Linked DNA regions of Pelodiscus sinensis. The protein of the gene in region 4 purifies or fractionates together with the protein of the main gene of each other region. This does not show direct contact. Links are inferred from orthologs where the notes say so. Each region holds a gene or a part of one and is shown on either strand. Other genes may lie near its edges.

The links.
Region 1: the proteins of FAF2 (region 4) and UBL4A purify together in Homo sapiens (affinity purification with mass spectrometry; 3 studies listed by BioGRID and IntAct, with this or other methods). This does not show direct contact. The link is inferred for Pelodiscus sinensis from reciprocal best matches to the Homo sapiens genes FAF2 and UBL4A.
Region 2: the proteins of FAF2 (region 4) and SETDB1 purify together in Homo sapiens (affinity purification with mass spectrometry; 3 studies listed by BioGRID and IntAct, counting the BioPlex papers as one, with this or other methods). This does not show direct contact. The link is inferred for Pelodiscus sinensis from reciprocal best matches to the Homo sapiens genes FAF2 and SETDB1.
Region 3: the proteins of FAF2 (region 4) and NPLOC4 purify together in Homo sapiens (affinity purification with mass spectrometry; 3 studies listed by BioGRID and IntAct, with this or other methods). This does not show direct contact. The link is inferred for Pelodiscus sinensis from reciprocal best matches to the Homo sapiens genes FAF2 and NPLOC4.

Annotation. Positions count from the first base shown.
Region 1 is NW_027465910.1:144,062-150,995, forward strand, and holds the start of UBL4A (ubiquitin-like protein 4A), read right to left. Parts: upstream 3,006-6,934; 5' UTR 2,897-3,005; coding exon 2,849-2,896; intron 1-2,848. Other genes in the region: SLC10A3 (P3 protein), read right to left, coding at 3,739-5,037. UniProt on the Homo sapiens protein: As part of a cytosolic protein quality control complex, the BAG6/BAT3 complex, maintains misfolded and hydrophobic patches-containing proteins in a soluble state and participates in their proper delivery to the endoplasmic reticulum or alternatively can promote their sorting to the proteasome where they undergo degradation.
Region 2 is NC_134734.1:21,839,469-21,847,221, reverse strand, and holds the start of SETDB1 (histone-lysine N-methyltransferase SETDB1), read right to left. Parts: upstream 3,012-7,753; 5' UTR 2,997-3,011; coding exon 2,852-2,996; intron 2,424-2,851; exon of another isoform or gene 2,268-2,423; intron 1,698-2,267; exon of another isoform or gene 1,445-1,697; intron 1,341-1,444; coding exon 1,124-1,340; intron 678-1,123; coding exon 505-677; intron 1-504. Other genes in the region: CTXND2 (cortexin domain containing 2), read right to left, coding at 3,414-3,587. UniProt on the Homo sapiens protein: Histone methyltransferase that specifically trimethylates 'Lys-9' of histone H3. H3 'Lys-9' trimethylation represents a specific tag for epigenetic transcriptional repression by recruiting HP1 (CBX1, CBX3 and/or CBX5) proteins to methylated histones.
Region 3 is NC_134730.1:27,376,568-27,383,597, reverse strand, and holds the start of NPLOC4 (nuclear protein localization protein 4 homolog), read right to left. Parts: upstream 3,018-7,030; 5' UTR 2,873-3,017; coding exon 2,858-2,872; intron 1-2,857. UniProt on the Homo sapiens protein: The ternary complex containing UFD1, VCP and NPLOC4 binds ubiquitinated proteins and is necessary for the export of misfolded proteins from the ER to the cytoplasm, where they are degraded by the proteasome.
Region 4 is NC_134727.1:41,027,040-41,034,863, reverse strand, and holds the start of FAF2 (FAS-associated factor 2), read right to left. Parts: upstream 3,017-7,824; 5' UTR 2,587-3,016; coding exon 2,524-2,586; intron 1-2,523. UniProt on the Homo sapiens protein: Plays an important role in endoplasmic reticulum-associated degradation (ERAD) that mediates ubiquitin-dependent degradation of misfolded endoplasmic reticulum proteins.

The DNA.
Region 1 (6,934 bases), on a different chromosome or scaffold from region 4:
GGCCCCCGACACTCCCCCGCAAACCCTCCTCTCTTGCCTCCCCGACACCTCCCCAAAACCCTCCCCCTCCGGCCCCCGACACTCCCCCGCAAACCCTCCTCTCCTGCCCCCGACACCTCCCCAAAACCCTCCCCCTCCGGCCCCCGACACCTCCCCAAAACCCTCCTCTCCAGCCCCCGACACCTCCCCAAAACCCTCCCCCTCCGGCCCCCGACACTCCCCCGCAAACCCTCCTCTCCTGCCTCCCCGACACTCCCCCGCAAACCCTCCTCTCTTGCCTCCCCGACACCTCTCCAAAACCCTCCCCCTCCGGCCCCCGACACTCCCCCGCAAACCCTCCTCTCCTGCCCCCGACGCCTCCCCAAAACCCTCCCCCTCCGGCCCCCGACACTCCCCCGCAAACCCTCCTCTCCTGCCTCCCCGACACCTCCCCAAAACCCTCCCCCTCCGGCCCCCGACACTCCCCCGCAAACACTCCTCTCCTGCCTCCCCGACACCCCCCTAAAACCCTCCCCCTCCGGCCCCCGACACTCCCCCACAAACACTCCTCTCCTGCCTCCCCGACACCCCCCTAAAACCCTCCCCCTACGGCCCCCGACACTCCCCCGCAAACACTCCTCTCCTGCCTCCCCGACACCCCCCTAAAACCCTCCCCCTCCGGCCCCCGACACTCCCCCGCAAACACTCCTCTCCTGCCTCCCCGACACCCCCCTGCAAACCCTCCTCTCCTGGCTCCCCGACACCTCCCCAAAACCCTCCCCCTCCCGCCCCCGACACTCCCCCGCAAACACTCCTCTCCTGCCTCCCCGACACCCCCCCGCAAACCCTCCTCTCCTGCCTCCCCGACACCTCCCCAAAACCCTCCCCCTCCGGCCCCCGACACTCCCCCGCAAACACTCCTCTCCTGCCTCCCCGACACCTCCCCAAAACCCTCCCCCTCCGGCCCCCGACAATCCCCCGCAAACACTCCTCTCCTGCCTCCCCGACACTCCCCCGCAAACACTCCTCTCTTGCCTCCCCGACACCTCCCCAAAACCCTCCCCCTCCGGCCCCCGACACTCCCCCGCAAACCCTCCTCTCCTGCCCCCGACACCTCCCCAAAACCCTCCCCCTCCGGCCCCCGACACTCCCCCGCAAACCCTCCTCTCCTGCCCCCGACACCTCCCCAAAACCCTCCCCCTCCGGCCCCCGACACTCCCCCGCAAACCCTCCTCTCCTGCCTCCCCGACACCCCCCTGCAAACCCTCCTCTCCTGCCTCCCCGACACCTCCCCAAAACCCTCCCCCTCCGGCCCCCGATACTCCCCCGCAAACACTCCTCTCCTGCCTCCCCGACATCCCCCTAAAACCCTCCCCCTCCGGCCCCCGACACTCCCCCGCAAACACTCCTCTCCTGCCTCCCCGACACCCCCCTAAAACCCTCCCCCTCCGGCCCCCGACAATCCCCCGCAAACACTCCTCTCCTGCCTCCCCGACACCCCCCTGCAAACCCTCCTCTCCTGCCTCCCCGACACCCCCCTAAAACCCTCCCCCTCCGGCCCCCGACACTCCCCCGCAAACACTCCTCTCCTGCCTCCCCGACACCCCCCTAAAACCCTCCCCCTCCGGCCCCCGACACTCCCCCGCAAACACTCCTCTCCTGCCTCCCCGACACCCCCCTAAAACCCTCCCCCTCCGGCCCCTGACACTCCCCCGCAAACCCTCCTCTCCTGCCTCCCCGACAACCCCCTGCAAACCCTCCCCCTCCGGCCCCCGACACTCCCCCGCAAACACTCCTCTCCTGCCTCCCCGACACTCCCCCGCAAACACTCCTCTCCTGCCTCCCAGACACTCCATTGCAAACCCTCCTCTCCTGCCTCCCCGACACCTCCCCAAAACCCTCCTCTCCAGCCCCCGACACCTCCCCAAAACCCTCCCCCTCCGGCCCCCGACACTCCCCCGCAAACCCTCCTCTCCTGCCTCCCCGACACTCCCCCGCAAACCCTCCTCTCTTGCCTCCCCGACACCTCCCCAAAACCCTCCCCCTCCGGCCCCCGACACTCCCCCGCAAACCCTCCTCTCCTGCCCCCGACACCTCCCCAAAACCCTCCCCCTCCGGCCCCCGACACTCCCCCGCAAACCCTCCTCTCCTGCCCCCGACACCTCCCCAAAACCCTCCCCCTCCGGCCCCCGACACTCCCCCGCAAACCCTCCTCTCCTGCCTCCCCGACACCCCCCTGCAAACCCTCCTCTCCTGCCTCCCCGACACCTCCCCAAAACCCTCCCCCTCCGGCCCCCGATACTCCCCCGCAAACACTCCTCTCCTGCCTCCCCGACATCCCCCTAAAACCCTCCCCCTCCGGCCCCCGACACTCCCCCGCAAACACTCCTCTCCTGCCTCCCCGACACCCCCCTAAAACCCTCCCCCTCCGGCCCCCGACAATCCCCCGCAAACACTCCTCTCCTGCCTCCCCGACACCCCCCTGCAAACCCTCCTCTCCTGCCTCCCCGACACCCCCCTAAAACCCTCCCCCTCCCGCCCCCGACACTCCCCCGCAAACACTCCTCTCCTGCCTCCCCGACACCCCCCTAAAACCCTCCCCCTCCGGCCCCCGACACTCCCCCGCAAACACTCCTCTCCTGCCTCCCCGACACTCCCCCGCAAACACTCCTCTCCTGCCTCCCCGACACCCCCCTAAAACCCTCCCCCTCCGGCCCCCGACACTCCCCCGCAAACCCTCCTCTCCTGCCTCCCCCACACCTCCCCAAAACTCTCCTCTCCCGATCCCTGACACCCCCCCCCCCGCAAACCCTCCTCTCCCGCCCCCCGACACCCCCCCGCAAACCCGCCCCCCGACAGCCCCCCCCACCTGGAGGCTGCATCCCCGGCCCTGAAGCGCCTTCACCGTGAGCAGCATCGCGCAGCCCGGAGCGGCCCCTTTAACGGCACCATAGACGCCCGGAGGGAAGCGGGCTTAGAGCGACCGCCACGGAACCATAGAGCCGGAAGAGGCGCGTAGAGCGTCACGTGTCATAGAGTGTCAGTGCCTTGGAGCCTAGAGTGGCCGGGGCCATAGTGCGCCGCGGCTCGTACCATAGAGTCTCGGGCCCGAACATTGGCTCCTGTAGCCTAGACTGGAGCCGCGGCGGGCGCAGGGCTAGAGTGTCCCTGTTGTACCATAGAGATCCAAACGCAGCGCGGATAGAGCGGACATTCCCTCCCCGCCGCACTCGCGACTATTCTGGCCTGGCCCCAGCACCATAGAGTCTATTCTGCGGGGGGAGGGGAGAGCGGCCAAGTAGAGAGAGGCGCCCCCAGAGCCGGGACCTCCCACTGGCCCCGCCCCCAGCCCCCGACTCCGCCCCCAAGCTGGCTGTGAATGGCACCAGCGTTGAGCCTCCACCAATAACAGCTCCATGCACAAACTTGCTCTTTCTCCTTTATTGGCCCCTTCCCCTCCCTTAACAGCCTGTGTGGCCCCCTCCCTGAGGACCATTGCCAGCCACACAGAAAACACAGTATAAAATGAGGCTGGGTGTTCAGGGGCCCAACATGAGACTTTGGTTTCCTACTGCCCCCACTGGGAGGGGCCCCTGGGGTGAGCCCCTTGTACAGCAGGTCCCTGAATCTGCCTGTCTCTGCCCCCCAACAGCAGGGTGCTCAGCTCCTAGGGCAGCCCAGCCCTGCAGTAGAGGGGCACTCAGTGCTTAGGGCTGCCCAGCCCCCAGCAGGACCCATTCCTTCTCACAGATGGGGCACTCAGGGACTGGCAGATGGCTGCAGCTTCTTGTAGAGGAGATGGGCCAGCACTAGCACCAGCATCTCAGCCGTGCTGCTCAGGGCCACCACGAAGGGGGCCTGGGAGGCATAGTCAGCCTGGCGACGGCGGAAAGATAACTGCAGCACAGCCAGTGCCAGCAAGCTGTTCTGCACTCCCACCTCAATGCTGACTGTGCGGCAGTGTGGGCCTGGCAACCGCAGGCAGGCAGCCAAGAGGTAACCCAGCCCCAGGCCAACGAGGGGCACGGTGAGCCCGGCCAGCACCACTGGGGGCTCCACCTCAGCCAGGATGACGGCTCCCATGTGGTAGGCCAGGAGGAGTCCACCCAGGATGAGGGCAAAACTGAAGGGTTTGATGAGCAGCAGCAGCAGGCGGGCCACGCGGGGCAGCTTCCACTTCACCAGCAGCCCAGCCGATATGGGCACCGCAATGAAGAGCAGTGTGCCCACGATCTTGGCGAAGGGCACGTGCAGGCTGGGGTGGGCACTCAGCAGGCGCCCATAAAGGGCCGAGGAGAGCGGCATGAGCCCAGCGGCTGCCACAGTGGACAGCAGTGTCATGGCAATCGCCAGGGTCACGTTGCCACCCAGCAGCAGGCTGTAGAGGTAGCCACCACCCCCACCTGGTGAGGAGCAGGTGACAACCAGCCCCAGTGCCAGCGCCGGGGGGAGGGCAAAGGCCAGCGAGAGGAGGTAGCCATAGAGTGGCATAGCAATAAACTGGCCCACAATGCCCAGGAGCACGGGCTGTGGCTGGCGCGCCAGCTCCCGCAGCGCCTCCAGCTCCACCTTGCAGCCGAAGGCACACTTGTTGACAAAGATGAGGGGCAGCAGAGCATAAAGCAACGGGTTCTCTGAGAAGTGGCCCAGGCCTGGGTGCCCTGGCTCCTCACTCGCCATCACCCGCACCCGGAACTCGCCCCGCTCCTCCACCAGCTGATGCTGGTCCAGCAGGCGCAGCCGAAGTGGTGCCAGCCCAGCTGGGCCTGAGCGGATGGCCACCAGGAAACCGCCTGCTCCACAGCACAAAGCACTCACGTTCTCCACAGTCAGCACCGCAGGTGCCAATGAGGCCGCACTGAGCCGGGCACCACTTGCTGTCCCATTGGTGCCCAAGTACCGGCTGGACACGACCATGACACCCCGGCTCCTCTCAGGGAAGTCAAACTCCAGGGCACTGCCATCACCCACACTCAGGTACCTGCCAGCTGGCTGCCCCCAGCTGGCCCAGGTCCAGCGGCCCAGCCCCAGCAGCAGCAGTGCCAGGGCTTGAGCCATGCCGGAGCACTCACGGCTCATGGGCATCTGGCCTCCTCCAGGTCCGGCACATCGGGACGTTCCCGGCCAGCAGGTGCAGGTCTGGATGCTCTGGTGCCTGTGGGAGTGGAGGGGCAGAGGTGAGAAGAGGAGCCCAGGCTGGAGGTGGCAGGGTTGGATGCCACCCCCCACCAGAGAACTGGGGGGAGGGGGAGTGTGGACCCACGCTGTGGGGCAGGGGGCAATGTGCAGAGCTATGGGGTGGGGAGGGGGCAGGGGTGTGGAGTTATGGGACGCAGGGAGGGGTTGTGAGGCGGGGCGGGGCTGTGAGGTGAGGGGGGAGTTTACGGGGCGGGGGATGCTCCCTCCCCCTGCAGCCAGAGAGCCCCCCCGCCCCGGCCCACACCTGACACCGACCCGCGGACCAGTCTTGACTCGGCTGCGTCCGGCTTCCTTCGGCCCCGCCCCACGTTCACGTCACAGGGGTGGTCCCGCCCCACGGGCATGACCTCACTAAGGTCTAGCCCACCACGGAAGTGCCGAAGCGCGCCCCCTAGAGGGCGGTGCCTGGGACCGGAAGAGCGCGCACCTGAGAGGGCGGGGCTCGCTGTCCGCTGGCTGGCTGGAATCCTGCGGTGTGCGCGCGCGTGGGGCAGTTAGGGGACGGAGGGCAGATAGGGCGGGGCTCAGAGAATCCGGGGCGCTGATTGGTTAAGATGGGGCACGTGGCTGCTCATTAGCGGCTCCTGGCGCTTCCTTAACGCCCCCATAGCAGCGAGCCCCGCCCTGTGATTGGCGGGGCTCAGGGGCCCCCGCCCTGTGATTGGCCAGGCTCAGGGGACCCCCGCCCTGTGATTGGCGGGGCTCAGGGGCCCCCGCCATGTGATTGGCCAGGCTCAGGGGCCCCCCGCCCTGTGATTGGCAGGGCTGAGGGGCCCCCGCCATGTGATTGGCGGAGCTCAGGGGCCCCCGCCCTGTGATTGGCAGGGCTCAGGGGCCCCCGCCCTGTGATTGGCTAGGCTCAGGGGCCCCCGCCCTGTGACTGGCGGGGCTCAGGGGCCCCCGCCATGTGATTGGCCAGGCTCAGGGGCCCCCGCCCTGTGATTGGCAGGGCTCAGAGGCCCCCCCGCCCTGTATTGGCCAGGCTCAGGGGCCCCCTGCCCTGAGATTGGCAGGGCTCAGGGGCCCCCGCCCTGTGATTGGCCAGGCTCAGGGGCCCCCGCCCTGTGATTGGCAGGGCTCAGCCCCCCCCCCCCCACCATGTGCCTTTTCTCCCACTACACTGGCCGGGGGGAGGCTGGTCTCCTGGCTCAGCCCCATGGGGGGGGGGGTGCAGCGCGAGGGGTCTTTGGCCCGCCAGGCATCGCCCTGTGTCCAGGAGGGTCCCCAGCAGGGGAGCCACCAAGGGCCCCGGAGGCAGTACGAGCAGGAGGATCAAAGCCTGAGAGTGGAGAGGCCTGGTGAATCAATGGCGGAGCATCCCGGAGTTTTGGACTCGTCTCAACACACTGGCCCCACCCAGGCTGCCCCCACGAGGACCAAGCCCCAGACTCTACAAGGCTCTTGCTTAGGTGAGCGAGCACAGCCGGGGGACAGAGTGATGGTGTCCAAAGGCAGAAGGCTCAGAGAAGAGCCCTGCAAATGACCAAGGGCTAGAAAACCAGCCTTCTAGCTAGCGACTCCAGGAGCACAGTTGGAACCACTGTCCCAGAATAAATGAACTGAACAGAGAATCATCTAGTGACCCATCCCCGGCTTCTGAAAGAGGCTAGGGAGACCCTTCCTACTCCCCTGGCTAACAGCCATTGATGGACCTGCCTCCATGAACTCGTCTAGCTCTTTATTGAACCCTGCCTTAGTTTTGGCCTCCACGACATCTTTTGGCAAGGAGTTACACATGTTCATTGTGTGTTGTGTA
Region 2 (7,753 bases), on a different chromosome or scaffold from region 4:
GAATGTCATATGAGAGCTTCCCAATTTAACTGCTTTCAATTAGGGAACAAATGCACTGACTTCACAAGCACCACTCTTATTACACTTCCCACAGGCTCCATGGGAGTCTCCATCCGGTCCTGCACAGCCTTACAAACAATAGTCCTAATGCATATTCTTGAGGATGCTCTTTGACCAACTCCCCATCCCCCTTCATATTAAAACATAACAACGGCCAGACTGGGTCAGACCAATGGTCCATCTAGCCCAGTGTCCTGTCCTGACAGGTGCCCCAGAAGGAATGAACCAGACAGTAGTCACCCATTCGCAGCTTCTGACAAACAGAGGCTAGGGACACCATCCCTGCCCACCCTGGCTAATAGCCATTGATGGACCAATCCTCCATGAATGTATCTAGCTCCTTTTTTGAACCCTGTTAAAAAGTTATATTCTTTGCAGGGATATGCTTTTATCTCCCCACCCCCTCCTCCAACCCACTTCCCAATGTCACGTGGAACACTGAACTGCGCTTCCAACCCGAATCAATACTCATAACATCGTCGTCATCCTCATCTGGGATTTCGATCACTTCCATGGGCTTGGAGGCTGATTCTTCATCTTCAGAGCTGCTCTCACGATACTGAAGGCCCAGCTTGGAGTAGAGATCTTTTACCAGTATCTCACATTTACCAATGGCTCTGCAACATATTGAGGGGGGAAAAAAGGGGCAGAGAGAAAGATCCAAGATGAATATAATTATACCCCACTCCTCCCAGGAAGAGGAGAAGGTTTTGCACAGCTGATACCTGCTACTTTAAGGGGTTACTCAGCAATTGTGGCCATTATCACCACTAAGCAGAACTGCGAGTTTGCCCAAGTAAGCAAACCAGAATTAGGGGTTGGACAAACTAACCCGAAGGACTCAAAGCCACTACACGAAACAGCTACCAAAGTGCACGCGCTTAATGAGTACTTCTAAGAATCTGAGTGCATGAAACTTGCCTACACATCGTCCAGCAAGTCAGTGGTAGAGATGGAAATAGAACCTGAGAATCCTAATGCCCAGTTCCCTCTTCTAGAATTCTCTTTGCTACCTCCACTAGCTCTCTCTTCAACACAAAGTTGCCACTGCAAGTATACCTACCTTGAAGCATCATCAAAGAGCTGGTCAACATATGCCACTTCTGCTTCTTTCTGTTCCACACTCTTTTCCAGCTCTTCCAGCTGCTGTTTCCTCTGTTTCACACTCTCAAACTTCTCCAGCTCCTCATCAATGAATTGCTGGAGCTCCTCCATAGAGATCCCCAACTCCTCTATCACTTCTTGCTGCAACTCTGTTACTTCCTGAGAATCCATTTTTGCTAAAACCAAAGCAATAAAAGAAATATGTGACAACATGCAAGCTTCCAAGGCTCTGGTCACACACAGTGTATGTCAGCATAAGTATTGTACCACTCTAACCAACCTGACTGCAGTATAAGACCTCATAAGCATATGGACATTTTGGATGTAAGAGTGTAACTGTTTACATGGGTAACAGGTAAGCATGAGCTTATCAGTTACACAAATGGTTACATGCGGCTCCCGGTCCAGATCCTTGGGAGCAGCAGGTGGGAGCCAATACATGTGGAAAGCTAGCTTAAAAGTTGGTTCCCTGCTCTCTCTATGGGTATGTCTACACTACCCCCCTAGTTCGAACTAGGGGGTGGTAATGTAGTCATACGGAGTTGCAAATGAAGCCCGGGATTTGAATTTCCCGGGCTTCATTTGCATAAAGCCGGCCGGCGCCATTTTTAAATGCCAGCTAGGTCGGACCCTGTGCCGCGTGTAGCCCCTAGAGGCCCCCTTCTATCTGTGCCCCCCATTGCCCCTCCCTCAGAACCCCCCATTGCCCCTCCCTCAGAGCCCCCTTCTATCTGTACCCCAACTGCCCCTTCCTCATTGCCCCTCCCTCAGAGGGCCCCCTCAATCTGGACCCCAATTGCCCTTCCCCCAGAGCCCCCCATTGCTCCTCCCTCAGAGCCCCCCTCTATCTGTACCCCAACTACCCCTTCCTCATTGCCCCTCTATCTGTACCCCAACTGCCCCTTCCCCATTGCCCCTCCCTCAGAGCCCCCCTCAATCTGGACCCCAATTGCCCCTCCCCCAGAACCCCCCATTGCCCCTCCCCCAGAGCCCCCCTCTTTCTGTACCCCAACTGCCCCTTCCCCCTCCCCCAGAGCCCCCCTCTATCTGTGCCCCCCATTGCCCCCCCCCGCTCCCATGTTCCCCGAGCCCACATTCCTCACCTCTCCCCGGGCCCGGGGGGTGGGGCTGTTTCTGAGGAGCAGCCGTTGGCTGCGGGCAGACCGGATGGAACCTCTCAGCACTTCCGGTGACGGTAGCCCGCGAGGCACAAGTGAGCTCTGCTTGAGAGCGGGGCACGAGCCCACCGCTGGATATTGCGCATGCGCCCAGCGTGCCTCTGGGATATACTCTTAAAGGGCCAGGGGTCCGTCAGGCTGTGTGGGTCCGTGCGCATGCGCCGGGAGAACACATCGTTAAGGGCGCTGCGGCAGATCTTAAAGGGACAGCGGGGAGGTGCCTTGCCCGAGGTCACAGAGCGAGTCAGTGGCAGAGCCGGGAATGGACGCCAGGAGTGCGGGCTCCCCCTGCCACAACTCTGCGCACTTCACAGGGGCTTCCTGGGCACTAGCCTCTGAGCTGAGGCTGTAGCTGCCTGACATGGGCCACGAGGCTAGTGCTGGGCTCGCGTGGGTGGGGGATAACAGCCTACTACTGCTGCTTTCTTGCAGCCCTGCCTGAGGGACAGGCGCTGCACTGGTGGGCTGAGGCTTGGCGCTCAGCGTTCAAATCTTGCTGAGGAACTCACCCTGTGCTGAGATGTCACAGGAGAGAAACATCCTGCCCCTCATTCCAATCGTACACACGTGACTATGTGCAGGAAAACCAGAGTGGGCAGGTCTGCGCTCACTTTCTTGCTCCGGTAGAGATGGCCGCTTGGCGTAAGCAACCATCTCCTACTCCAGCTTGCTGTCGGAGCCAGCCAGCCCAGATGGCTACTCCTGTCTTCCTCAATAAGGCATTAGGATTAGGAGAATCTAAGGGGAGTCAAGGAGAGTCAAGGAGATAAGGAGAGTCAAGACTCCTAACTTCTGTTCCTGGTTTGGCCATGGACACTTTGACACAAGGAGTTTAGTATATTCACTTACCACCCCAAAGTCTTATGAAGCTGAATTAATTGTCAAGTGCTTTGAGATCCTTAGATGGAAGATACCAGGTATTATCAATAGTGTTAGAATCTGACAAATGCACAATTTAAGCTACAGAATCTTCATTATCTGTGCAGGGGTGGGGGATTACAGGGACCACAAGAGGCAAAAGAGTCACCCACAAGGAACTGATTAGCCAGTTTTCCTCCTATTTATTGTCAGTCAATTGATCTGCTCTTCCTCCCAAGTGGAGGTGGGGATGGCGCTGTATGGGTCCACAATCAGCTTGGCGCACCTCACGATCATGGCCATCAAGAAAACGCACATCAGGATGACAAACCCAATGGCAAACCCCTTGTCCACATCGACGTACGGCTGCACTGTCGGACTCTCCATAGGGCTCCGCCTTCACACCCTGCTCTGTCCTCTGAGCTCTGGCACGTCCATCACCTGCACAGCAGAGTTTGAGATGGAAATCATTATTTTTGTGCATAATTTATATTGTGATTGTGTAATCCATACACCTAGGCTACATCTACACTGGCATGATTTTCCGGAAATGCTTTTAACGGAAAAGTTTTCCGTTAAAAGCATTTTCAGAAAAGTGTGTCTAGATTGGCAGGACGCTTTTCTGGAAAAGCACTTTTTCCAGAAAAGTGTCCGTGGCCAATCTAGACGCGCGTTTCTGCAAAAAAGCCCCGATCGTCATTTTCGCGATTGGGGCTTTTTTGCGGAAAACACTACAGTGCTGTCTACACTGGCCGTTTTCCAGAACAGTTTTCCAGAAAAAGACTTTTGCCCAAATGGGAGCAGCATAGTTTTTCCGGAAAAGCACTGATGATTTTACATTAGATCGTCAGTGCTTTTCCGGAAATTCAAGCAGCCAGTGTAGACAGCTGGCAAGTTTTTCCAGAAAAGCGGCTGATTTTCTGGAATAACTTGCCAGTGTAGACACGGCCCTCGTGTGTGTGGTTCACTGTCCCATGTAGTGGCATTTAGACCACTTATAGTGAGAGAAAAGAATGAGTGAGCTCTACAGCCTAAGATTAGAGCCAGCTGGCTTTATAGCTTAAGCTGTAGCGGCTCCTACACTAAACTCTAGAGAGCCCGGTTTCAAATCTGCAGGGAGGTGATTACAATTGCACCTGTGGGTTCCAATTAAGTCTCTATGGTGCTTGGTGTTGTAAACAACCTAGTCACTGGCCCAAAGAGCTCACCTATGAAATTAGGAAGTTTGCATTACCTGCAGAGGACAGAAAATGCTAGAGTTTGCTGCTCATAGGTTCAAAGACTTTAAAGCCAAAAGGGACCCACATGATTATCTATTCTGACCCTATGCACAGGCCACAGAATCTCACCTATTCAGTCCTGTAGTAGGCCCATGATCACCAGCTGAGTTACTGAAGTCCTCAAAACTTGATTTAGAAAATTCAAGTTAGAGAAAAGCCGCCATTTGTTCTGGGAAGTGTCCTGTGCCCCACAGCACAGAGGGAAGGAAAAAAGCCCTCTAGCATCTCTGCCAATCTGACTGGAGGGAAAATTTCTCTAGTAACTTAGAAGCCTCCCCCTCTAGCGTCCCCTCTTCTGCCATGGGAGATAGTTGTGAACAGCTGTTGTGGATGGGCCATATGTCATTGTATGTAACTTCTCAGATAATTTCCTCCATAAACTTATCAAGCGCTTCCTTTGGCCCATCAACCCCAGTATGTTCCATGTGAGAGACATGTCACAACATATTGGTTATGTACTGAGTACCGCTGAGAGAGGCCTGACTCCCCCATTTCCCTAAACACTGAGACATAGTCACTTTCTCTGGCTCAAGTCATGTTTATTTCTCCATATTTACAGAGTGGACCAGCTTCAAGAGTGGGGATTGAGAAAGTACCATTAACCCACTGGGTAGGGCACTCATCTCAGAGGGGAGAGACCTGCGATCATGTCCCTTCTCTGATTCAGGCAGGCATTGGCCATGTAACCACTGAGCTAAGGAGTGTAAGAAGGGCAGCTGTGTTTTGTGGGAGGTCTGATCTGGTAGACAAGCTCTTTAGCAGCCTCAGCATGCCTGTGTCTGTGTCTCCATTCCACATGAGAATAATAGCTTTTCCAAGGAGTGCTGTGAAAATACCGGCATTAAAGAGGATGAAGTGCTTGCTGCGATGTGATGCGGGCCACAGGAATACTTTGGATAAGTGACCTGACACATCATCAAGATGACAGATTTCCGTTTATTTACAGTCACTTGTTTGTATCCTGTTGTAGTTTAGTTCCAGGAGACACTGAAAATACTTGGCTGCTGGCTTTTGGATTGTTCATACTCAAAGCATGTGCCCAGGGCTATGTCTGGTGCGGTGAGTAGTTTTCCATGTGATTTCACTACTGGTGTATTTTCACTTTCAGATGTGTAATAACGTTGCTTAGTGCACTCCTGAAAGGCGCTGAGATGCTACAGCGATGAGCAAGCTGTGAGAACCTGTATAGACTAGAAGTGGTGAAAGTTTGACTGTCTCAGAAATTTTGGAGTCCTCTGTTTATCCAGAGAACATATCTAGGAGGGTCAGCAGCAGGAAATGCATCCCTAATTCCTCCCACCCTCAAACCTGTTCTAGGAGGACTACAACCGAAGGGGTCACTCAGATGCCAGAGCCTCTCAGTCCCTGTCATCTTTGCCAAACCTGCTAAAAAGTGAACAAGGTGGCAAGCTTTTTGAGACTGTTCTGTGTTTGTACAGCACCTAGCACAAAGGGGTCCTGATCCGTGACTTTCCTTCTCCCCACCACACACACTACTGCCCTGCAGATAATAATAGGTCTCCCTTTACTGCAGTAGCTGAGCATCTCACAGTCTATAATATATTTATCCTCATGACATTAGTGGGAGGTAAGGCTATAAACCATGTTTTGCAGCTGGACAATTGAGGCACGGAGAGATTAAGGGAGTGGCCCATGGTCGCACAGAGATTCTGTAGCAAGGGCACGGTCTTGAACTGAAGTTTCATGAGGCCCTGGACTCTTAGATCCTTGTTAATGTTCATCTGTCTGAAAGGAGGAGATATTGACAGCTGGGGTGCTGGCTGTGCAGGGTGGACACCCGTCACACTGGGGATAGACTGAGGCCCACCAAACTTAATTTCCTGTTACAGTTCCCTGATGAACCAGCAGGTGGCAGAGAAGGAAATCCTGTAAGTCAGTAGTCCCCAACCTTTTGGGACTGCCGGGTGCCCGGAGGCAGGGCCACTCACGCACCGGGCACCCAGGGGAGGGGCCACACATGGGCCCGGGGGCGGGGCCGCATACACACCCGGGGGCGGGGCCACCCGTACGCTGCGCACCCAGTGCCAGCGCCACCCATGCGCCACACTCCCAGGGCTGCCACCGCTCCTGTACCTCACGCCTAGGGGCGGGGCCACCCATATGCCGCGTGCTCAGGGCCAGCGCTGCTCAGGGGTGGGGAGCCAAGCGCCCAGGGGTGGGTACGCCCATACGTCGCGTGCTTGGGGCCGGCACAGCCCATGCGCCGCCCACGTGCTGTGGGCCCGGGGCCGGGGCCGGCGTTGCGCCTTCACCGGGCGCCCGGGTCGGTGCCGCTCATACGCCGCGTGCCCAGGGGCCAGCAAAGCCCTTGCACTGCATGCCTGGGGATGGGACCAGTCCCGATCACTCGGTGGGCGCACAGAAATGTCCCGGCGGGCGCCATGGCGCCCACGGGCACTGCGTTGGGGACCACTGGTGTAAGTGACTGTTCCAGTGAAGTCTGATGCAGCTGGTGAAGTGTCACAGAGGTCACCTGTGTTACAGAACCCAGCTCTCCCAGGCCAGCAGCATCTTAACGACTGGTCCACCCGTCCTCTCCTGCTACCTTATCATGACTGCCCCTTGGCCTGCCCATAATTAGCCATTTTCTTGTGAGCACCATAAAGTCAGTGAGTCTGGAGAGATTGGAGGCACATGAGTGGCTTAAGGGATTGGCTAGAGGAACTTGTTGCCAGCATAGTGGGCGGGACTAAGTACTCTCTTCTAGACCATCCCTGACAGGTGTTTGTCTGACTTGCTCTTTAAAATCTCCAATAATGGAGATTCCACAACCTCCCTAGGCACATTGTTCCAGTGTTTAACCACCCTGACATTTCCTAATGTCCATCCTAAACTGCTCATGCTGCAATTTAAGCCCATGGCTCATTGTCCTGTCCTCGGAGGTTAAAGAGGACAATTTTTCTCTTTCCTCCTTGTAACAACCTTTTACGTACTTGAAAGCAGCTGTTATGTCCCCTCTCAGTCTTCTCTTTTCCAGATTAAACAAGCCCAATTCCTTCAGACTTCCCCCATAGGTCAAGTTTTCTAGATTTTTAATCATTTTTGTTGCTCGTCTCTGGACTTTCTCCATGCACGTCTTTCCTGAAATGTGGTGCCAGAATCGGACACAATGCTCCAATTGAGGCCTAATCAGTGCAGAGTAGAGCGGAAGAATGACTTCCTGTGTCTTTCTTACAACACTCCTGCTAATACATCCCAGAATTGCACTCCACACATGTTGGGCATGCCCAGTCCTACAGCTGCTCTAACTTA
Region 3 (7,030 bases), on a different chromosome or scaffold from region 4:
CCCTCTCAAGTTCTTTTACGGAAGGACTGAACTAACTTGCAGCATTAAGGGTCATCTTCAATGTTATTTCAACATTACTGACAGTTGGCATCTATCTCCAATAAAGAGACTAAGAGAATTAAGTCATGAAGGCACAAGGCATTACTGGGAGATGTTAATAGGATTTCCACTGGAAAGATGTGCAAAGCCACCTGCTTTTGGGAAAAGGGGCCAGAGGCAATTGTTCCCATAAAGACAGGCTTGGCTATGGATCAGGACACAACCATCAGGATGTCTTACGCTTCTCCGGAGTGTGAAAGTGACTAACGCTCAGCCTGCACTTCAAACCAAAGTACCAAGCAGCAGGACATGCAGTGAAGGGTCACGCGGCGGCAAATACTATTACACACACCGATGTGCCCCTGGGAAGGACAGCAGGGCGCAGCACAAGGCCACCAGAGTGCTCCAGCATGCTCTCCTTCCAAGTTATTTTGTATTACAACGCCAAAGTTCTGGGTGAATACATGGAGCATGCGAGAAACAAGGAATGCCTGTAAAAGACGATGATTTTGTTTAAATTGCTGCACTGTATCTTCCTGCAGAGAAGTGAGCACAACACAGAGGGCCAGATTAAATCACAGTACATTTCAGGGTGCACCATAAGGATTGAGGGTGACCCCGCCTTGCTTTGATGTTTCACACACACGGAACCCCAACCCTCATTCCATTTCCTGATTGGAAAGGCCCCTGCTTACATTTACTCAGCCTAGGAATGCCAAAATAAGACTCTACATATTTTTAAATGTTCAAGCTTCTCCCACTTTTGGGGCTTATTGAGAATATTGGATGGGCTAATGGGACCAAGGATGATGAAGTTTTTCTGCCCATGACTAAGAAGATGATGTCTCCACATAATTCCTAGGTGGCACTGGAATTAGTCAGAAATCAGAGCAGACAATTGAACATTTAACTGCCTGGCACTAGCATAGCGGCAGGGAGATAAACCAACAGGTCTTAATGCAAACCTTTTCCATAGAAATAGATGACAAATCAGCTGTGTTCCTTATTTTGGTGTCCTCAGCTCTGGACAGCATTTCAAACAAGACCAACACCAATGTCACAGTAACTAGCATGAAGCATGAAGGGGAGAAAAGGAATACTTTGCCAGAACTCAGTTAAAAAAGATGTTTGCTGCTACTCGGGTGAGGCAAGAAAATGCTAAGAGGAAGGTACTATCAGTAATGTCCAGATGCTGAAAGGAAGAGAGCTGCCAGTTGCTGTCTCACCATAGTTGCTCTGATAGGGCCTAACTCCTGGGTGATGTACCTTACAGGAGAGTAAGGTAGATGTTTGTGATTTTGGAAGTCAATGGAGACACTTGTTTTCAACAGCAAGCGTCAGAAAGGAGGTTTTGCCTGACAGCTTTAGAAAGAAAAACTAAACACAAATCTGTTTTGTCACAAGTTTCCAGATTGTTTCAAACAGTTTAAACAACTTTTTTTGTTTTGTCAATTTCTACACCCAGTTCTCTCTCCATTGGCAAAACGATGACTGACATGGAAGAACACACCAGAGGCCAATGACCTACTGGGCCTATTTGAAATCATGGGATGGTGGGCGGGCGAAGCCCGCCCACCTTCTAAAAGCCCCTCCCCAACCTTATGGGAGGGACACTGGACCCATGTTCAATTGATTTCTTGGGACAAATAATGACTAAAGGATCAAGAAGTGCGGGCTAGAGGTTCAAAATAAGGGAGCCGGATGGGGACACCGAGGCATACAACAAGAGATCAACTGATTTAGCAATCCCTGAAACAAAAGAGATTGCTCCTAACAACAGGCAAGCTACAGGCCTATTGAGATAGACCTTTACGAAGAGTAAAGGAACTGTGTTTATAGACCCTTCCAGTTAAACCAGTTTCTAGCATGGCTAATAACTTCTTGTGGAGACAAAGCCAAACTGCATTAGAAGAAAAGCTTTCTAACCTAGATGCTGGCTAAAGCCAGAAGGTGGCTTTCAGAGTTTTAGCATGGCTCTGCCTCTAGCCAAAGGGGCCTTTGACTTGGAGGACTTTGGGAAATTCTCCCACTGCCATTCCTGGACACAAGTATTTTCATCCCAATGCCATCTAGACCAGCTCTAGAGAGCATGGTGGTAAACATACTGGCAGCTGGGCCAACATCAGTACTCTCACCCCTTCTAGAACACGTGCTGCAGAACTGGTGGGAGAATTTTAAGAAAAAAAAAAGTTAAGAGTAAACAAGGGTTTAGGCACCATCTGCACTGGGATCAGGAGTTTCCCTGCGCCGTGTGGACACAGACTATGGCAGTGAAGTGTAAATGGGGGCGAAGAGGGAAGTCATAGTCCGGCGGGTAGTTACTAGACCAATCCGGCACTGCAGGCACGTGCAAAGCCTCGCACTTGACTGTCCCAGGGGACTCGGTGCCTCCCCCCCAGCCCATCCCCGCCGCGACTAGAACGCGCAGAGCATCCCCATTCCCGCACCGCCAGCACAAGCTAAAGGCTGGAGGGAGATGGGGGGAGGCTGGAGCCGGGCTGGAGGGGGGGGGCCTGGAGCCGGGCTGGGGGCCGGTGAGAACCCTCGGCCTCGCTTCGGGGGGGGGGGGGGGTTCTGAGTCGGGGGGAGGCTGAAGGGTCTCACGTGACCGCCGCGGCCGGGAGCAGCAGCTGAGGCGCCCCCTCCCTTGGGGGGCAACGGACGCGGGGGGGGGGGGGGCCGTCCGCTGCTAGAGACAGAGCAGCAGCAGGAATTCACCCCCGCCACGGGGCGGTGGGGGGGGCAGGCGGGGGCCCGGGACGGGGCGGCTCGGGCCCCCCCCGCAAACCGCCGCTGCCCCCCCCCGGCCCCGACTCACGATCGTCTCCGCCATGGCGCTGCCGGCCCCGCCCGGCCTCCCGCGCCTGCTCCGGGGCCGGTTCCGAGCGGCCGCCTCCCGCCTGCGCCCGCGACCCGCCTTCCGCCCGCGGCCGCCGCCCCGCCGCAACGTTCCGGGCACGAACGGTCCCCCCCGCCTATAACCCCCCCCGGGCCGACAACCCCCCCATGACCCCTCCCCCGGGCCCGCTACCCCCCCCGGGTCCCCCTTCATAACCCCTCCCCCCGGGCCCGCTACCCCCCCCGGGTCCCCCTTCATAACCCCTCCCCCCGGGCCCGCTACCCCCCCCCCGGTCCCCCTTCATAACCCCTCCCCCCGGGCCCGCTACCCCCCCCGGTCCCCCTTCATAACCCCTCCCCCCGGGCCCGCTACCCCCCCTGGGTCCCCCTTCATAACCCCCCCCGGGCCCCGCTACCCCCCCGGATTCCCCCCTCATAACTCCTCCCCCCCGGGCCCGCCACCCCCCGCCCCCTCATAGCCCCTCCCCCCGGGCCCCGCTACCCCCCCCCGTCTCTCCTCATAACCCCCCCCCCGGGTTCCCCCTCATAACCCCTCCCCCCGGGCCCCGCTACCCCCCCCCGGGTCTCTCCTCATAACCTCCCCCGGGTTCCCCCTCATAACCCCTCCCCCCGGGCCCCGCTACCCCCCCCCGGGTCCCCCTTATAACCCCTCCCCCGGGCCCCGCTACCCCCCCCCCGGGTCCCCCTTATAACCCCTCCCCCCGGGCCCGCTACCCCCCCCCCGGGTCCCCCTTATAACCCCTCCGCCCGGGCCCCGCAAAACCCCCAATTGTCTCACCCCATAACCCCTCCCCATGTACCCCAGAGAACCTTAACCCAGTCCCACCCCATAACCCTGCCCCACATACTCCACGGGACCCCCAAGGGTACATCTAGATGACATGCCCGGCATCATTAAAATAAAAATGGCCGCCGCGCTGTGCCGGCTCGGCTGATCGTCGGCACAGTGCGCGAGTCAAGACGCGGATCGGTCGACAGGGGAAGCCTTTGTTGACTCGTTTCATGAGGCATAAGGGAGCGGTCGACAAAGGCTTCCCTTGTTGATCGATCCACGTCTTGACTCGCGCGCTGTGCCGACGATCAGCCGAGCCGGCACAGCGCGGCGGCCATTTTTATTTTTATGATGCCGGGGATATTTAAGTCCCCGCTTCGTTGACTATGTCGGGTAGCCTATTTTGCATGCGTCTGTCGGCAGAGGCATGTAATCTAGATGTACCCCAATTGTCCCATCCCATAACCCCTCCCCATGTACCTCACAGAACCTCCCCCCGGTCCCACCCAACCCCCTTCCCAGGTACCCCACAAAATCCTCCCTAGTCCCACCTCTTAATCCTCCCCAGGTACCCCACAAAACCCCATTTGGTCCCACTCATACCCCCTCCCCACGTATCCCACAGTACCCCCCTCTGGTCCCAGCCCATAATTCCTCCCCCTAGTGGACCCCACTGAATCTCTCCCCACACAAATTTTCCACCTTCTAAATCATCCCTCATTGGTCCCACCCTCCCCCTATTTTCCCCCACTGTACACTGTTTCCCCTTCCTCTGGCAGTCCCTCCCCGCCACGCTCCTTGTGTGAAGGGTTCTGAGCCCCAGCGCAGTTCTGAGGATCCAGTGACTGAGGGTAGAGCCAGGCCCATGGCAGGAGCAGCCAGCCTGCTCTGCAGACTCGGGGTGCGGTGGGGGTGTCTCTCAGCCCATCACTGACACTTAACAGAGGCGGCGCAGGCCCTGTTCATGCTGCAAAGGAGATGGTTCTTGGGCCTTTGGGAGCCACCGGTGGCTGCAATATTGATTGTTACCCTAGTGTAAAATACAGACCCCGTTATGAAATGCCTCTTGGAGCCCCAGCCCTGGCAATGAAGAAGTCCTGCAGGCACAAATGATCCCCACCCAGCAGCCAAAAAGCCAGCTCGTAGGCAAATAATGAATGAAATAAATCAGGCCACAAATCCGAGCTCCCCTCCTGCCCATGGGAGTATACCCGCCGCCTTCCTCCACTACTGCAGCCTGCCAGTAGCCATTGGCTTTGGCCTTGGGTAGATCACGTACGTTTCATACAGGCGTGTTCTTTGACAAAGAGGAATGCTGGGGTGAGGTGGGTTAGGGTACAGCAGCCAAGAGCGCTCCGGCCTTTTGGTTACTGCAGACCAGCAACATTGTGTTGACTGTTCCCCACACACAGGGTTGCTAGATTCTGCTGGTTTCCATCCAGGTTGTATTTTTCCTACCAGTGTTACTAAGTGACAGGCATGGAAAGCCAGGGCCCGTGAAGGGAGGTGCGTGCTGACTGCACACAGCATTGACTGAGAGCCGGGCGCCCCCTCCACAGCCAAATCAAAGTGCTGCTACAATTCAATTGGCACATCCTGCGAACTGTAGGTAAGCTAGGGCAGTTAGCAAAAATACCCTATTCCAGCAGACCATCTTGGTTACGACAGTCTGGGGCGCTCTGAGATGGAGGCCTGTCACTCACCTCAGTTGCCATCACGGCTGCAGATCAGTGGTTTCTAATTCCAACCTGCACTGCGCGGATCCCTGTAGGGGGGTCTGTGCAGAGTCTAACCCGTGTTGCTTCCCCTGCAGGCGGAGGGACGCCGCTCGGGAAGCAGCGTGGGCCGAGGGACGTACAGGCTGTCAGCAGGGCTATATGGTTTGGGGAGGTCCGTAACATTTTAATAGATTGAAGAGGGGTCTGTATCCTCAAAAAGGTTGGGAGCCACGGCTGTAGACCAGTGTTCCTCAACCTTTTTTTATAAAGTACCCCTTTAAAAAAAATTATACATACCCCCAGTACCTACAGTTTTCAGACACACAATTTTTTTCTACCATTGCAACACATTTGTTTAAACAACTTCATCATAGCCAGGGGAGTGATGACATTTTTGGGTGTAAAAAGTACAACAATAATAAAGCACTGTGAAACAAACAAAATTCAGTTTTCTCCAAATTTCAGTTGTGGTGACGTACCCCCCAGATTTCTCTCGAGTACCCCTAAGCGTATGTGTACCCCTGGTTGAGAAACACTGCTGTTGACGGATATGGGTGGGAGATGGTCACAGAGGGTATGTCTACACTACCCTCCTAGTTCGAACTAGCGGGGTAATGTAGGCATACCGCACTTGCAAATGAAGCCCGGGATTTGAATTTCCCGGGCTTCATTTGCATAAGCGGGGAGCCGCCATTTTTAAATGCCGGCTAGTTCGAACCCCGTGCCACGCGGCTACACGCGGCACAGAGTAGCTAGTTCGGATTAGGCTTCCTATTCCGAACTAGCTGTACTCCTCATTCCACGAGGAGTACAGCTAGTTCCGATTAGAAGCCTAATCTGAACTAGCTACTCCGTGACGCGTGTAGCCGCGCGGCACGGGGTTCGAACCAGCGGGGATTTAAAAATGGCGGCTCCCCGCTTATGCAAATGAAGCCCGGGAAATTCAAATCCCGGGCTTCATTTGCAAGTGCGGTATGCCTACATTACCCTCCTAGTTCGAATTAGGAGGGTAGTGTAGACATACCCTGAAATATTTAGGGCCTGGAACAACGAGGGTGTGGTACACTTACTCCAGGCCCTGAGCGGTATCCTTTGGCCAGAGGGCTAGCACTCCCTGCCTTCTCTCTGAAGAAGCGACCATCTGCCACGAATTGCAGCCTCTGGCTCCATTGCAAGAGACGCCCAGTTGCCCCTGTCAATAGGGAAGAGGAATGAAGCAGGAGGCTGCCAGTCCCCTAGGGTCCTTCCCGCAGGGTAAAATCACAAAACCGGCTGGTGAAAAGACCGGGCCATAGTGATGTGTGTCTACTGCCTCAGCGCTCTGCATGACCTCTGGCGTCTTTCAGCCCCTGTACGCTCTGGAGACTTGGGACTGGACCATACATTTGAGGATGGGGGTGGTGCTTGTTGAGGTGGGCCTGCCGTGGGCTGGGATGCTCATGCAGCGCCTCTCCATTCCCCTGGGAGCGCTCGCGCAAAAGGGCCTGCTGGAGGAGAGCAGGAATTGCGTATAATAGGGGCACCACCGGGGCGGACCGTGAGCCTAGGCAGACTTGCCACTCCTAGGCACCACATAGGTTCAGTGATGCACAGGGGACTATGGAGAACGGAGGCAGGGAACCTTTTTAGGGCTGGGGGCCAC
Region 4 (7,824 bases):
TAATTATAGTCAACGTTCACAAACAAAGCTTCTGGGTAACTGACGTTCAATGCCCTGTGTTATTTAGGTCAGATTACATCATCAAAAGGGCCCCATCTGGCCTTAAAAAAATGACACTTCTACTTAGTCACCATTTTCCAACAAGACTACTAGAATAAAATGGATTTTGTTTGTAAGATAAGCCATTTTGAAAACACTTTTCCAAAGTGAGATTTCCCATTTTCTTAATCACAGCATCGCCAAATCATCTTGGCCAATGCTACTGTAAACGAATACTGGAATGTATAATTTCAGGCAAGCAGCCTAGTTTTAGTGAAGTTAATGGTGCGGACTCAGAATGCTTAACAGAATACCAATCTCTCCATAAAAACACAACAAATGGTCTGGTAGCACTTTAGAGACTAACAAAACATGTCGATGGTATCATGAGCTTTCGTGGGCACCGCCCACTTCTTCAGATGACTGGAGTTAGAAGAAGTGGACTGTGCCCACAAAAGCTCATGACACTATCTACATGTTTTGTTAGTCTCTAAAGTGCTACCAGACCATTTGTTGTTTTTTTCTGTAACAGAGTAACTTGGCTACCCCCTGAAGCTCCTGAACATACAATCTCTCCATAGTTACTTATGTATATCTTTAACATTTGAGCATAGCATTTACAGATAAGTGACTGAACCATGCCTACCTATGTATCTAACAGGAATGAAAAACATCCAACCGGTTAAACAAATTGTTTAATCGGCTAACTACTGGTCACAGGTGAGGGAGCTGTTCTGACCCTGCTAGCCTGCTGCAGCAAGGGTCCTGCTTCTCTCAATGGCTGGATCCTCCAGTTAACTGGTAAGCACGCCAATAAGGCTAATGCTTACTAGAGAACGGTTTAATCTTTTATATCCCTAATATCTTTTTCCAATACCATCAAACTGACAGAGATAGCTTTGTAGTTAAAATACAGTATTGTGAACCTGAAGATCGGGAGTTATTTCCTATTCTGACTCTCACTATTATTATTTGTATTGCAGTAGTACACAGGAGCTCCAATCATGGACCAGACATAATCACATACTTCTTGTGTGGCATTGGGCAAGTCACTATGCCTTTATAAAATGGGACTAACTAATCTGCCTTTTGTAAACTGAGATAATTAAGAGCAGGGATGGGCAATAAGCCAGAGGCAGATTATCAGCCATTTATTTACCTACACGTCTGCAGGCATGACGGCTTGAAGCTCTTGTTGGATGCAGATCACCATTCCTGGCCAATGGGAGCTGTGGGAAGTGGCATCCCAGTCCACGCTGCTTCCCATGCCTCCCATTGGGTAGGAATGGCCCATTCACGGCCAACAGGAGCTGAAAGCAGCCATACCTGTGGAGGCACAGGTTAATAAAGCACCAGTGACCCACCAAGGGCTAACCGTAGGGAACTGTGTCTGGTCCATGGGCCACTTATTCCCCACCCCTGCTTAAGAGTCATAAACCATCAAGCTCTTCAGTAGCAAGGTGCTACTGAAATGTGAAGCAGCTGTAGAGTTTGAAGCATCAACTGAAGAATACTGGCTAAAGGTGAACATGAAAGTTTGGAAAGCAGGAGAGTAGACCATCAACATGATCCAGGATAACAGTCCCAGTGCTTAGACTGTTTATGGCTTTACAAAACAGCCTCCAACTGAAAATATAATTAATAGAAATTACAGTTTATGCCAAACTCTTTACTAGAGTTAGCTTTGTTGCTGGCAACAGGTTTCTGAATAGCTGCAATTAAATTAATTGGTTTCTCGATAGCCATTTTACTGAAGAATAAAATTCAGAAGCAGCACAAGTAGTGCTGGAGTTGTCTGTAGACTCAGACTGACAAAATCTATGTAATCGTACTTGGAAGATGAATTGGGTAAGGGGTGTGACTGACTAGTCAATTATCCCATAAGCAAATGCTCATTGGATAGTGGATACGCTAGTTGCTTCCCCCCCTTGCTGCCTCGATCAGAAAGAGGTGGGGGGAAGGGGAGAAGAGGTGAGGGTGCTGCAAAGTGGCAGCGCCCGGTGGAACCCTGGAATGCTGTGCACAGCCCGGGGGCTCCATGCAGCACTGCCGGGAGCACGGGGCCAGCGGGGGGTGGCTGGAGTCCCAGCGCTTCGGGGCACGAAGTGCGGCCTGGCCCTGTGCCAAGTGCACGAGGCGCCGATCGGCCAATTCATCCGCATGGAACGGGACCCCCCCCCCGGTGTGTGGAACCGGCCCGGTGCCCCCCCCCGCGAGGAGCGCGCTCCAGGGGCCCGCCCTGACCGAGGCGGAGGCTCCGGACACGGCCCGGGGCGCGCGGCCCCTGTCCCCGGGCGGGCCGCCTCCCCGCGGGGCCCCTCCCGCCAGGCCCCGCCACGCGCCAGCGAAGCGACTGACTCGGCCCCGCCCGCGAGGAAGCCGCGAGCCCAGGCCCGCGCAGAGGCCGGAGCCGGCCCCGCAGCCCCCCCGCAAAGCGGGCCCGCCGGGGGGGGCCCGCTCCAGCGACCCGCCGCCCCCCCGCACCTGGAACTGCAGCAGCTTCTCGGTCTGCTCCGCCGTCAGCTCGCGCTCCTCAGGCGCCGCCATTTTGCCGCTGCCTCTGACCCGCCGCTCCGTCACTCTCCGGAACTGACGTCGCACGCCGCCCCGCACTTCCGCCCCTACGTCGCGCCCCTACGGCGGGCAGGAGCCGACGCCAACGGCCGGCCGGAAAGGGCCGAGCGCATCCGGAGATGCCCGAACCTGGCACTGGTTCCACGTGACCTCCCGGCGGAGGCTCCCGAGCGTGGGACGCAGCTCTGCGGAGAGCCCTGGGAGCCGGGGGTTCGAGACCGGCTGCCGGCTCCCTGCCGGGCCCACGTGGGGGAAAGCTGCCCCCGCCCAGGCCTTCGCCTGGCTCCACGGGAGCCTGGTTCGAGCCTGCCCCAGGCGGCTGGGCGTCCCTGCGCAGTGTTCGGGGCTTGCCCGTCTCGCCACGGACCCGCTTGTTTCTACACTTCCTACCCCTCAGCGGATTCCTTCGTGCCCGTGGGAATTAACCCCCCCCCGGCCCAGGCTGCTCCCCCACTCCGGAATTCACCCCCCCCCGGCCCAGGCTGCTCCCCCACTCCGGAATTCACCCCCCCCCCGGCCCAGGCTGCTCCCCCACTCCGGAATTCACCCCCCCCCCGGCCCAGGCTGCTCCCCCACTCCGGAATTCACCCCCCCGGCCCAGGCTGCTCCCCCACTCCGGAATTCACCCCCCCCCGGCCCAGGCTGCTCCCCCACTCCGGAATTCACCCCCCCCCGGCCCAGGCTGCTCCCCCACTCCGGAATTCACCCCCCCCCCGGCCCAGGCTGCTCCCCCACTCCGGAATTCACCCCCCCCCGGCCCAGGCTGCTCCCCCACTCCGGAATTCACCCCCCCCCGGCCCAGGCTGCTCCCCCACTCCGGAATTCACCCCCCCGGCCCAGGCTGCTCCCCCACTCCGGAATTCATCCCCCCCCGGCCCAGGCTGCTCCCCCACTCCGGAATTCATCCCCCCCCCCGGCCCAGGCTGCTCCCCCACTCCGGAATTCACCCCCCCCCGGCCCAGGCTGCTCCCCCACTCCGGAATTCACCCCCCCCCCCGGCCCAGGCTGCTCCCCCACTCCGGAATTCATCCCCCCCCGGCCCAGGCTGCTCCCCCACTCCGGAATTCACCCCCCCGGCCCAGGCTGCTCCCCCACTCCGGAATTCATCCCCCCCCCCGGCCCAGGCTGCTCCCCCACTCCGGAATTCACCCCCCCTCCGCTGCTCCCCACTCCGGCTCTGCCCGTGCACAAGGGGGGGGGGGGCTTGTTTAAAACGGCTCCCCAGTGCCGCACTCCCTGGTACACCGGACTGCCCCCCCAGTGCAAAACCCCCTTGGGCGCCCAGAAAGACGCACTCGGGAATTTCTTCCTGGGGGCACCCCGCGTTCCCGAGCCCTTCCTCGGGGGAGAGCTGGGAAGAGTAGCCGGCCTTCAGTCCCCGGGGCGCGCCCGGACCTGCAGGACGCGGGGACCGCAGCCTCGCCAGGGACAGCTGATTGGCGAGAGCGCGCCCCGCACACCCCCATCTGCCCCCATCTCGCACCAAAGGCCGGGGGGGGGGCAGGTGTCCCGTGCCGGAGCGGCCGGGCTGCGGTCCCGCTTGGGGCGAGCCCTCCCTCGGGGGGCGGAGAGCGCCGGGCCTCGCGCCCTGCACAGGCTCCGCGGCCCTTCGCTGGCGTCCCGCTCCCTCCTCCCGGCCCGCCCCGGCCCGCCAGGCTCCTCCCGCCGCCGCAGTGACAGCTGCGCCCGGGCCCCGCTCCGGCTCGGCTCGGCTCCGTGCGCGGCGCCAGCATGGCCGAGAGCTGCGGCCGCTTCTCGCCGCCGGAGAGCGCCCCGGAGGAGGACCCGGCCGCCGCCTTCCTGGCCCAGCAGGAGAGCGAGATCGCCGGCATCGAGAGCGACCCGGGCTTCGGGGCGGCCGCCGGGGGCCCGGAGCAGAGCCCCGAGACGGGGGGTGAGAGCGGAGAGCGAGCGGCCTGGGGTGAGAGCGGAGAGCGAGCGGCCTGGGGCCCCCGGCGGGCTATGCCCCCCTCGGGGCTGAGCCGGGTCTGCCCCCCCCCCCGTGGGGAATGGTCCCGTCGGGGCTGAGCCGGGTCTTGCCCCCCCCCCGTGGGGAATGGTCCCGTCGGGGCTGAGCGGGGTCTGACCCCCCCCCCCCCCCCCGGTGGGGAATGGTCCCGTCGGGGCTGAGCGGGGTCTGACCCCCCCCCTCCGGTGGGGAATGGTCCCGTCCGGGCTGAGCCGGGTCTGACCCCCCCCCCTCCGGTGGGGAATGGTCCCGTCGGGGCTGAGCCGGGTCTGACCCCCCCCCCCTCCGGTGGGGAATGGTCCCGTCGGGGCTGGGCCCCCCCCCCGTGGGGAATGGTCCCGTCGGGGCTGGGCCCCCCCCCCCGTGGGGAATGGTCCCGTCGGGGCTGAGCCGGGTTTGGGCCCCCCCTCGCTGTATCCAGCTGGAACCTCTACTGGGGGAGGGGAATGACCCCCAGGGCTGGGGCCCAGGCTGGGGTGGGGAATGGGCACCCTGGCGGCTGGTCCTGGCCTGGGGTCCCTGCTGGGGGTGGGCAATGGCCCCCCGGGGCACACTTGCTCTCTGCCCCTCTGCTGACTGTAGGTGATGTGACGGTGGCTGCCTTTGGCTTGACAGGCAGACCCCCCCCCCCCCCCCGGAGCACACCCCGGTCTTGGCTGGCTGGCCCAGCTGCGAGGAGGGGGCCCCGGGAAGGCTCAGAGAGCCCAGCCGCCTGGAGGGAGCCGGGTAGCGGCTGCTCTGTCCCTTGGGCCGCAGGGCCGTGGTCTCCCCGGGCGCGTGGGCATTCCAGTTCCCTCTCTGCCACGCATGGGGGTCGCTTGCCTGCCGGGGAGCAGGGCTCTCAGGGTTCCCCGGCCCCGGCTGTACAGCACTTGACGCTCTGGCCTCGGCCCAGCGCTCTGTTGCCCTGGAGCTCGGCGGTCAGCGTGCCAGGCTGCCCCGGCCTGAGTCCCTGGGAGGGGCTGGTGCTGCTCGCTCTCCGGACAGCTTACTAAAGAGCGGGAGGCAGCCATCCCCTGGCCTCCACTCCTGCCCCGTGGGCCTGGACTGATGTCCCCCAGCTCTGCCCTGCCACCGGCCCTCTGCAATGGGGAGGCAGCTCAGTCCCTGGGGAACTACCGGGCCCCACACGCTGGCTGGGGCTGCCCGTCACACATGACACCAGCTCAGCAGGCCTGGCTCTCTAGCCTGGCCGAGGGATCCGGCAGCCGAGTCCTCAGCAGAGCCTGACGCCGGGCCCAGGGAGGCACCGGGAGTGGCAGCTGCAAATGCTGCCTGACAGGATCCAGCAGCCAGGAGCCTGGGTGTAGCCGCCTACTTGGGGTGTGAGCGAGCGTGTGGGGGGAGGAGAAGGGCGGCTGGGGCTGTGCAGGGACAGGAAGCAGCAAGGGGATGGAAGGCCCTGCTGGGGCTGGAGCAGCTGGCAAGATGGGAGTCTGCGTCCTCACCGTGCCCATGTCCTGCTGCCCCTCCCCAGTAGCCTCCCCTAGGGTCCTGAGCTCAGCTGGGCTGTGGCTGTGGCCTGGCTGGGTTCCCAGGAAGGAGGCTGGGAGCCCCAGGGGTGGTCTGACCCATGCCCAGCTGCACTGGCGGCATGAATCCAGGACACGGGGTCTCTCCGGGCTGACTGTCACCCAAGAGAGCCCAGAGCCCACTAGATGGAGGCAGAGGCCTCTCTCGGGTGCGCCATCACCCCTCCAAGCCTGTTCCACTGGCTGGAATCTGGCTCCCCTCCGCCCCAAATCGCCTTCAGCGCTGCTGGGATTATTAGTGGCATCCGAAATAATGAACGTGGGAGACGGCGAATGCAGCCAGGCGTTCCTTCCCGAGTCCCAGCGCCACACGCTGCTTTATGCCATTGCTCTCAGCGCGCCTGACCACCAGGCATAAGCACCAGGGACCACCACAGCGTACTCCCAAGCACGTCCTTGGTACCTACACATGGGCCAGCCTAGGGAACCGGACTCTGCTCCTGCAGGATGAGGCTGGGTCTGACAAGGCACCCTCGGGTTCATCACTCTCTGTGCCTTTAAACTAAGGGCTGGGGGAAAGCCGATGGGTGCGGAGGAGACATGGACTGGACAGAGACATCCCTTAGGGGAAGTTCTATTAATAGAGATGCTCTGTGTTCTCAGCGGGAGGAGAGGATGGACGTCTGAGTCGGATCAGATGAGACACAATCAAATGAAAAAGTCGAACACATCAGGAAATGGAGATAGATAAATAAGGACCCATTTTTAAAGTGCTTATACACAAATGCTAGAAGTCTAAACGGTAAAATGGGTGAACGAGAGTGCCTAGATTTAAAGGAGGATATTGATATAAAAAGCAACCTGGAAACTTGGTGGAATGAGGCCAGTGAAGGGGCCCCGGCATACCAGGGTCCAAAATATATCGGAAGGACGGAACAGGTCCTGCTGGTGGGGGAGGGGCACTATACGTGAAGGAAAATGTGGAATCAAAGGAAGTAAAAATCTTAAATGAGCCAAAATGTTCCATAGACTCTCTCTGGCCAGTAATTCCATGCTCCAATACTAAGACTAGAGCAGTAGGGATATATTACTGACCCCCTGCTCAGGACCGTGCTAGTGACTATGAAATGCTAAGGGAGATGAGAGAGGCTATCAATTTAAAAAACTCGACAATAGTAGTGCGGGATTTCAACTATCCCCGTAGTGGCTGGGTACACCTCACCTCAGGGTGGGATGCAGAGATAGCGTGTCTTGATACCGTAACTGACTGCGTCTTGGAGCAGCTGGGTCTGGAACCCACAAGGGGCGAGGCTAGTCTTGATTTAGTCCTGAGGAGAACAGAGGATCTGGTTCAAGAGGTAAATAGAACTGCACCGCTTGGCAATAGTGACCATAAGGTAATAAAAGTGAACATCCCAGTGGTGGGAAAAACCCCTCAGCAGCCCAACATGGTGCCATTGTATTTCAGAAAGGGGAACGACACACAAATGAGGAAGATAGTTAAACAGAAATTAAAAGGTCCAGTGACAAAAGTAAAATCTCTGCAAGAGTGCTACTGTGGCTTAACAGCCAGGTAAAAGAAGTAGCGACCAATAAAAAGGCATCTTTTAAAAGGTGGAAATCAGATCCTAGTGCGGGAAATAGAAAGGAGCATAAACTTTGCCAAGTTAAGTGTAAAAATATAATAAGAAAAGCCAGAAAGGGGTTTGAAGAGCAGCTAGCCAGGAACTCAAGAAGTAATAGCAAAATGTTTTTTAAGTACATCAAAAG